Linked DNA regions of Schizosaccharomyces pombe. Changing the gene in region 1 together with any one later gene gives a genetic interaction. Each region holds a gene or a part of one and is shown on either strand. Other genes may lie near its edges. The genes, in order: byr3 and ras1.

The links.
Region 2: of byr3 (region 1) and ras1, a mutation in one rescues a mutant of the other (synthetic rescue), as found in Schizosaccharomyces pombe (2 studies listed by BioGRID, with this or other methods).

Annotation. Positions count from the first base shown.
Region 1 is NC_003424.3:2,246,604-2,250,331, reverse strand, and holds byr3 (translational activator, zf-CCHC type zinc finger protein), read left to right. Parts: upstream 1-1,768; 5' UTR 1,769-1,849; coding exon 1,850-2,389; 3' UTR 2,390-3,103; downstream 3,104-3,728. Other genes in the region: F-box protein Pof14, read right to left, coding at 3,251-3,728. UniProt on the Schizosaccharomyces pombe protein: Acts in the sexual differentiation pathway. Is required for efficient conjugation. Double-stranded DNA-binding protein.
Region 2 is NC_003424.3:2,018,630-2,022,578, reverse strand, and holds ras1 (GTPase Ras1), read left to right. Parts: upstream 1-1,947; 5' UTR 1,948-2,090; coding exon 2,091-2,096; exon of another isoform or gene 2,097-2,167; coding exon 2,168-2,821; 3' UTR 2,822-3,117; downstream 3,118-3,949. Other genes in the region: protein Ddb1, read left to right, coding at 1-1,355; leu5 (coenzyme A transporter), read right to left, coding at 3,230-3,949. UniProt on the Schizosaccharomyces pombe protein: Participates in the process of sexual differentiation and the determination of cell shape. Essential for mating and for recognition of the mating pheromone, but not for vegetative growth. Does not regulate the intracellular cAMP level.

The DNA.
Region 1 (3,728 bases):
ACAGATTTTTCATCTTTCTTGAACTTGTTCTCAAAAAGTTGGAATATTTCTATTTTACCTTAATTACATAGTTTAAACTATTTTCGTTCGGAAAATGATTTTACAGATTTTTTTTTTTAATCTAACTGGTAGAAGAATTTCTGTGTTTTATGTCTCGATTATTAATTTACTGCGTTTAATTATAAAATGAAGCGATGAACTAGTCATTCCCAAGGGCGAAAAGCGGTCAAATGTACTTGTTTTCAAAAAAAAAATTGACGGTTTCTTAGTATGACAATAGTGATAATTTGATATCGATTGAAGTGGTTTTCTGTTAAATGATACTATACATCTGTGAATGGGTTGGAAATTAAAATGTTAATCTAATTTTTGTTAATAGTTTATTCACGTAGGTTAGTGAAATGACGGTTCAAAGGTTGCATAAGTATTGGAAATCGATGAAGTATGTCAAGCAAAAACATTTTGTAAAATGAATAAATTTCAAAAAAAAAATATTTTTTTTTAGAATAATTTGGAATAATCATGCATTTCTGTATATGTTAAACTTTTAATATAAATCTGTGCTTGAGTATGAAATGAATTATCTAAAAAACAGTGTTTGAATAAACGTGTCCCAATAATAATGATAAATTGTAAAAAATATGTAGGAATTATACAAAATTTATTAAGCCACAAATAGGAATAGTAATTAACGTACAAAATTTGATTTGAATTTAATAATTTAAATGCGACTAAGTTACTTGCTTTTCTATTTACCAAAACGAATTCCAAAGAGAAAAAAATAAGCAATTAATAGTTTGGCAAAACACTTACTGCATGAATTAAATTAATAATCCGACATGCATTAATAAATTCTTGGTTGCTAAATTCAAATAAAGAAGTAATCAGCAGTTCTTTGCTCCTTAGTCGAATGATTACTTTTTTTCTATTCCATTCACCTTCTATTTCGTATTTGTTATATTCATAAAGTCTAGGAAAAATATAAAAAGATTTCCAAGATCCTAATTATCTATTTAAAATTATTATGTTGATATATCGTCGCGTAATATAATTAAATCTTTTTTTATCGAAACCTCAACAAGCTTTGGTGGTTTAGTGGTATAATGAATCGTTGCCATCGATTCGACCCGGGTTCGATTCCCGGCCAAAGCATTATTTTTTACCAAAACAATTTTTGGATTTATTTTGATTTGTTTGAATTCAAGCACGTGGTACTCTGGATACCTAAAATATGTACAACTATAGATTCCAGTAATATATATATTGCAAATGACTGAACTCAATTCTTCAGGCGCTATACTGTGAATGCAATGTTTCTACGATTTTTTGCCATGAAAAATAACGATGCTTATTTACCACGATTCAAAGTAACTAAGCGTTTGGTTATATTCGCTTGGAATACCAATCTACATTACAATGAGGAGGCAATAATTGCTATGATATAAAGCTATTGTCAGAACCAAAAAGTCCTGAGTTTATGGGAAAGAGTGAGCTTACTAGTTATGTAAGATATTACACTCTCTATCACAAAAAAAAGCAAGTATGCGGTAACAATTCTTCGATTCCATGACTCTTTTTAATTGGCAAGTTGTTGTGCTTCTTCCGTCGGTCTAAAACAACTAAATTCTTATTTATTGACATCTTTAAGACCAAAATAGTCGCTTGTCAAATTCGTTACTTCCAAGTGCCACCATGTGCTTGTTACTTAAGAAAAATTTAGACAGTCACACGCTCCTATTTATTAAGGAAGTGTAGTCAGGTTAGCGAGAAAAAGTACATTTTTTCTGTTTTTTTTTATTTTTCTTAATTTTCTTTAATAATTTTTTTTAATTGTAAAGGAGTTGTTAAGATGGAGTCTGAATCTGTTCCCACCGTTCCTCAAACCACTCGTCCCGGTCCTCGATGCTATAACTGTGGTGAAAACGGTCATCAAGCTCGTGAGTGCACCAAGGGTTCAATCTGCTACAATTGCAATCAGACCGGTCACAAGGCTAGCGAATGCACTGAGCCTCAACAGGAAAAAACTTGCTATGCTTGTGGTACCGCCGGACATCTCGTTCGTGATTGCCCCAGCAGCCCTAACCCCCGTCAAGGTGCGGAATGTTACAAGTGTGGTCGTGTTGGTCACATTGCTAGAGACTGTCGTACAAATGGTCAACAAAGTGGCGGACGATTTGGTGGTCATCGCTCCAACATGAATTGCTATGCTTGTGGCTCTTATGGCCATCAAGCCCGTGATTGCACTATGGGCGTGAAATGCTACTCTTGTGGTAAGATTGGACACCGCAGCTTTGAATGTCAACAAGCTTCAGATGGTCAACTTTGTTACAAGTGTAATCAACCAGGCCACATCGCCGTCAATTGCACCTCTCCTGTAATTGAGGCATAAGTGCTTGCTATTTATAACCCTTTGTCGTGGTATGAAGATATTTTTTCTTTTTCTTGTCCGATTTATTCAAATTTGGCAAGTGGTCATATTCTTACAAATCCCTTGAGCGATCTGCGCATTTAGTTATATAGAAAGCATAATTTTACATCCTTCTCTTCGTCCTTATTTTTTCGCACACTTCTGAATTCATTTTTGCTTCGGATCCTTAAGGATATTTGTACTGAAGCCTGAGATGCACCACCTCATTTCTCTCCTGTTTTCTCGTCACCGCTAAAAGATGGATGTTGATAGATTAAATCCTTTTTGTTTCAGTTTATTTTTACTGTTGTAGTGGCATTTTTTTCCTATTATTTTCAATTCACGAGCTTGAAATAAAAAAATTTGGAATATGGGAATTCTATAAATGATAGAAATTCCTTGGTCCATTTGGATGATTTGTTTTTTTTAGTGCCATTATTTAATGGAACTTTTGGTTTTATATGACAACTCACTATCAATTTCATTTACGAAATGGGTTTTGGCGTTTTCGTATTTTTTGAGTAACTTAATTTACCTTATGTGTTTGTACAGTAAATGTTAATGCTCTGACTTATTAACAACTTCTCTACTTCTTAATCTCTCATGGTATCTGTATAACAATATTTACAAAAGGGTTCTGGGTCATTTGCCTAATTAATATTATTTTTTCCTTGCATTGCTTACTCTGCTTTTCAAAAATGAACTGTAATTGAAAACGGGTGAACGATAAATGTAACAGTTGTCATAGACAAAAAAAAATTTATTAACTTCAATTTTACTTTCATACAAATTTGACATCGAATTTGTCTATTACATAAAATCGTAGTATATTAATCCAAAATTTTATTGTTCACATAACTCAGCCAACTGCGCTCGAAACAAACGAAATAAACTTCTTGCAAATTCACCTTGAGAATGGTAAATACTCTTGAACGCTTTCTCTTCATCCCTAGCCAATTGAACATGCTCCGATAACCAAGAGGGGAATTTTTGACCAGGCCTGCTTATATATCCCACCCCTAAACGATCTTTCATAACATCAAATTTGTATCTACTTACAGGTTCATAAAAGTCAATGATTGCTTCTAAGCATTGATCACATATATTGGTAGCAACAGAAGGCCGGTAAAATGAGGTAATGCAATCTTTAAACTTAGTTAACTTCGGTATTCTATTGCAAAGCACACAACGGCCTACAAGATTGCATGCTAGCTCTATATATGTAGACTCATCGCATGACTGTGTTCCATCTCCTGTTTGGATGATCGAGGAGGCTAACGAAGAAGTATCAGAATGAATTGTCTTTGCTGCATAACTTTGA
Region 2 (3,949 bases), 230 kb from region 1:
AACACTTTGATTCAAAGGAAAAAAATGCTATATTTGCTTTAGGCGAAAAACCACAGCTCATGTATTATGAGTCAGATAAATTGGTAATTACACCACTTTCTTGTACGGAAATGTTGAATATATCTTCTTATGTGAACCCTTCCTTAGGAGTAAATATGCTTTATTGCACTAATAGTTATATATCTCTTGCTAAAATGAGTGAAATTCGAAGCTTAAATGTTCAAACTGTTTCTGTCAAAGGGTTTCCGCGGAGAATTTGTTCAAATTCGTTGTTTTACTTTGTCTTATGTATGCAACTAGAAGAGTCGATTGGTACACAGGAGCAACGTTTATTGTCTTTCTTGAGAGTTTACGAAAAAAACACTTTAAGTGAGATTGCTCATCATAAGTTTAATGAATATGAAATGGTTGAAAGTATCATTTTAATGAATGATGATAAACGTGTGGTTGTGGGCACAGGTTTCAACTTTCCAGATCAAGATGCCCCAGATTCAGGCCGTTTAATGGTCTTTGAGATGACTTCCGATAATAATATCGAAATGCAAGCTGAACATAAGGTCCAGGGATCTGTGAACACTTTAGTTCTGTATAAACATTTGATAGTCGCCGGCATTAATGCCAGTGTCTGTATTTTCGAATATGAACACGGTACTATGCACGTAAGGAATTCTATTAGGACACCTACTTATACGATCGACATTTCCGTTAATCAGGACGAAATCATCGCAGCAGATTTAATGAAGTCTATTACCGTTCTACAATTTATTGATGATCAACTAATAGAAGTTGCCAGAGACTATCATCCATTGTGGGCAACATCCGTTGAAATTTTGTCAGAAAGAAAGTACTTTGTAACTGAAGCAGATGGCAACGCAGTGATTCTTTTGAGAGACAATGTCTCTCCTCAATTGTCCGATAGAAAAAAGTTACGTTGGTACAAAAAGTTCTATCTTGGTGAATTGATAAATAAAACTAGGCACTGCACATTTATAGAACCACAGGATAAATCCCTTGTCACACCACAGTTGTTATGCGCAACAGTTGACGGCAGCCTCATGATTGTGGGTGATGCCGGAATGTCTAATACTCCTTTGTTACTACAGCTGCAGGATAACATTAGAAAAGTTATACCTTCGTTTGGAGGCTTGAGTCATAAGGAATGGAAAGAGTATCGAGGTGAAAATGAGACCAGTCCATCTGATTTAATTGATGGCTCTTTGATTGAGAGCATCCTTGGTTTACGTGAACCTATATTGAATGAAATTGTAAATGGTGGTCATGAGGGTACAAAGCTTGATATTTCTGTTCAAGATCTAAAAAGTATTATTGAAAATCTTGAGAAACTACATCCTTAACGTTTTCTATCAATTCTGTTTTTGCCGCTAGAATGTAATTTTAAGACTATATGCAATTATCAATGTCTCATTGTATATTTATAGCAAACGAAAATGTTTTTGAATGAAAATCTCCACTATCGTATCTCTTTCCACGGTCGATAAAACGCATGAAAGGAGTTTAACATATACAAAATAATATATGGTGCCGACCTCTTCATGCATGTATTGCGAACACTTGAGCAAAATTTTTAGAAGCTTTTTAATTTTAATAAAGAAATATTTAATGTTCAGTATAGAAAGTTCAAAAGCAATACTTAAATTTGCTGCTAATTTGGTTAAGTTGGGCTGAATAGGGAATTCTTCAAACAATACTTCGTATGCTTTTAAAGGTAGACAAAGCACTAATGCAATATATCTGTCAAATACAAATGGCAGAATTTTTGGTATTTTAATAGAAGATCAAATGTTTATTGATGGATTTAACATAATTAGCTGTTAACATTAATATTTCGTTTTTATTGCACCAGATACCTTTAAAAAATTATAACTTCTGAATTTCTTTATTACTAGCTTGTCGGTTTGCCATCAGTAATTGTTGACTGCATTACTTGAAAACTGCCAAACACATTTTAACGAGCTTAAGACCAACCAATATTTTTTAATTACCAAGCCTACACACTTTTTGTATTTTGTTTTAAAAGCAACCTAAAGAAATATACGATTAAACTTAGTGTGCTTTATAAAATAGTGAATATGAGGGTAAGTCTAAGCAATGACTTGGGGTTATCTTTTATTGATTACAACAAACTAATCAACGATAATATTTATAGTCTACCTACTTAAGAGAGTACAAATTGGTAGTTGTAGGAGATGGTGGTGTTGGTAAAAGTGCTTTGACAATTCAATTAATTCAATCGCATTTTGTTGACGAATACGATCCTACAATCGAAGATTCATATCGGAAAAAGTGTGAAATTGATGGTGAAGGTGCGCTTTTAGATGTATTGGACACGGCCGGTCAAGAGGAATATTCCGCTATGCGTGAACAATATATGAGAACCGGAGAGGGTTTTTTATTAGTTTATAATATTACCTCTCGGTCCTCTTTTGACGAAATTTCTACATTTTATCAACAAATCCTTAGAGTTAAGGATAAGGATACATTTCCAGTCGTTTTAGTGGCTAATAAATGCGACCTTGAAGCTGAACGTGTAGTTTCAAGAGCTGAAGGCGAACAACTTGCAAAAAGCATGCATTGTTTATATGTTGAAACTTCGGCGAAGCTAAGGTTAAATGTAGAAGAAGCTTTTTATAGTTTGGTTCGCACGATCCGTCGCTATAACAAATCAGAAGAAAAAGGTTTTCAGAATAAGCAGGCCGTCCAGACTGCCCAAGTTCCAGCTTCAACTGCTAAAAGAGCTAGCGCTGTAAATAACAGTAAAACCGAAGATGAGGTTTCAACTAAATGTTGTGTTATATGTTAGCAAGTATTATTGCAGAATATTTGAGCTGTTTGGTGAATGCACCGTTCCTGTCTTTTGTTTCATCTCTTTCTTTTCATTTCAATAATTGTTTTTTCATTTAACACAATTATTAGCAGCTATCTTTAAGTACTTCATTTTCCCTTTGAACCATTTGCACATCTAGTTTTGGCTGCTAGTATGATAGCAAATTATTCAATTCAGAGTTGTGGACTTAGAAAAAACGTGTTATTTGACTTTGGGTTGCTATTTCTTGTTCCGTTTTAATAAAATACATCTCTTTCATTGCATGGTCACGATGTAACAATCTGCAACTAATGAATATATCATACACCTATAATCCCGTAGATCTTTTTTTATAAATTTTTAAAAAAGGGATAATTTTTTTCATAGAAAACTATGTCTGCAGTCTCAATCTATCCCTAAAAGCGCTTTGCTGTGATTGTAAACAAAAAAGCTAGTGCTTACCATTGGGATAACCTTAATGTAACCTATGGTAAGTCCAACGAAAAAACCTCTCATACCGGCTTCTTTGTAAGTAGTTTGTACTACCTGCTTAAGTCTAAGAAATGATTTATTTTTTCTGATACCACCAATTTGCATTTTTCGTCGACAAACTTCGAATGGGTAAGAAACCGTTTGACCACAAACTCCTGCAAATGCTCCACAAAGTAGTTCGGGCCAAGTTTTAAGTTTTTTATCTGACTTTTTTGTAGAAACCCATTCGTCAATTTTTTGTTTATGAAAAAAATCAGTTGCAAGATCGTAGGCAAGAAACGACATACCAGCATATGGAAAGATTCCAGTTAACGTAACAGAAAATCCACGATAAAAATTACAGATTTTTGACAAACGGGATAACCCAGGATACTTCTTATTGCACAAAAAATCACGTTCGTGAAATATATCTTTTGTAACTTGAGTTAGGGTAGGATTCTTCCCTGTATTGGTTATGTAGGCTAAACGAACACGAATCAGCTCTAACGGGTATGTAAAAAAAACAGAGCAAGTTCCGGCAAGTGATCCTGATAAAAATCGCCGAGCATGTGTTTCATGTTCAGGGTCACGAATTAAAACACGCCGTACTTGTTCGTATGCAACAAATTTAATGCCCGCATAAGGGAAGACTCT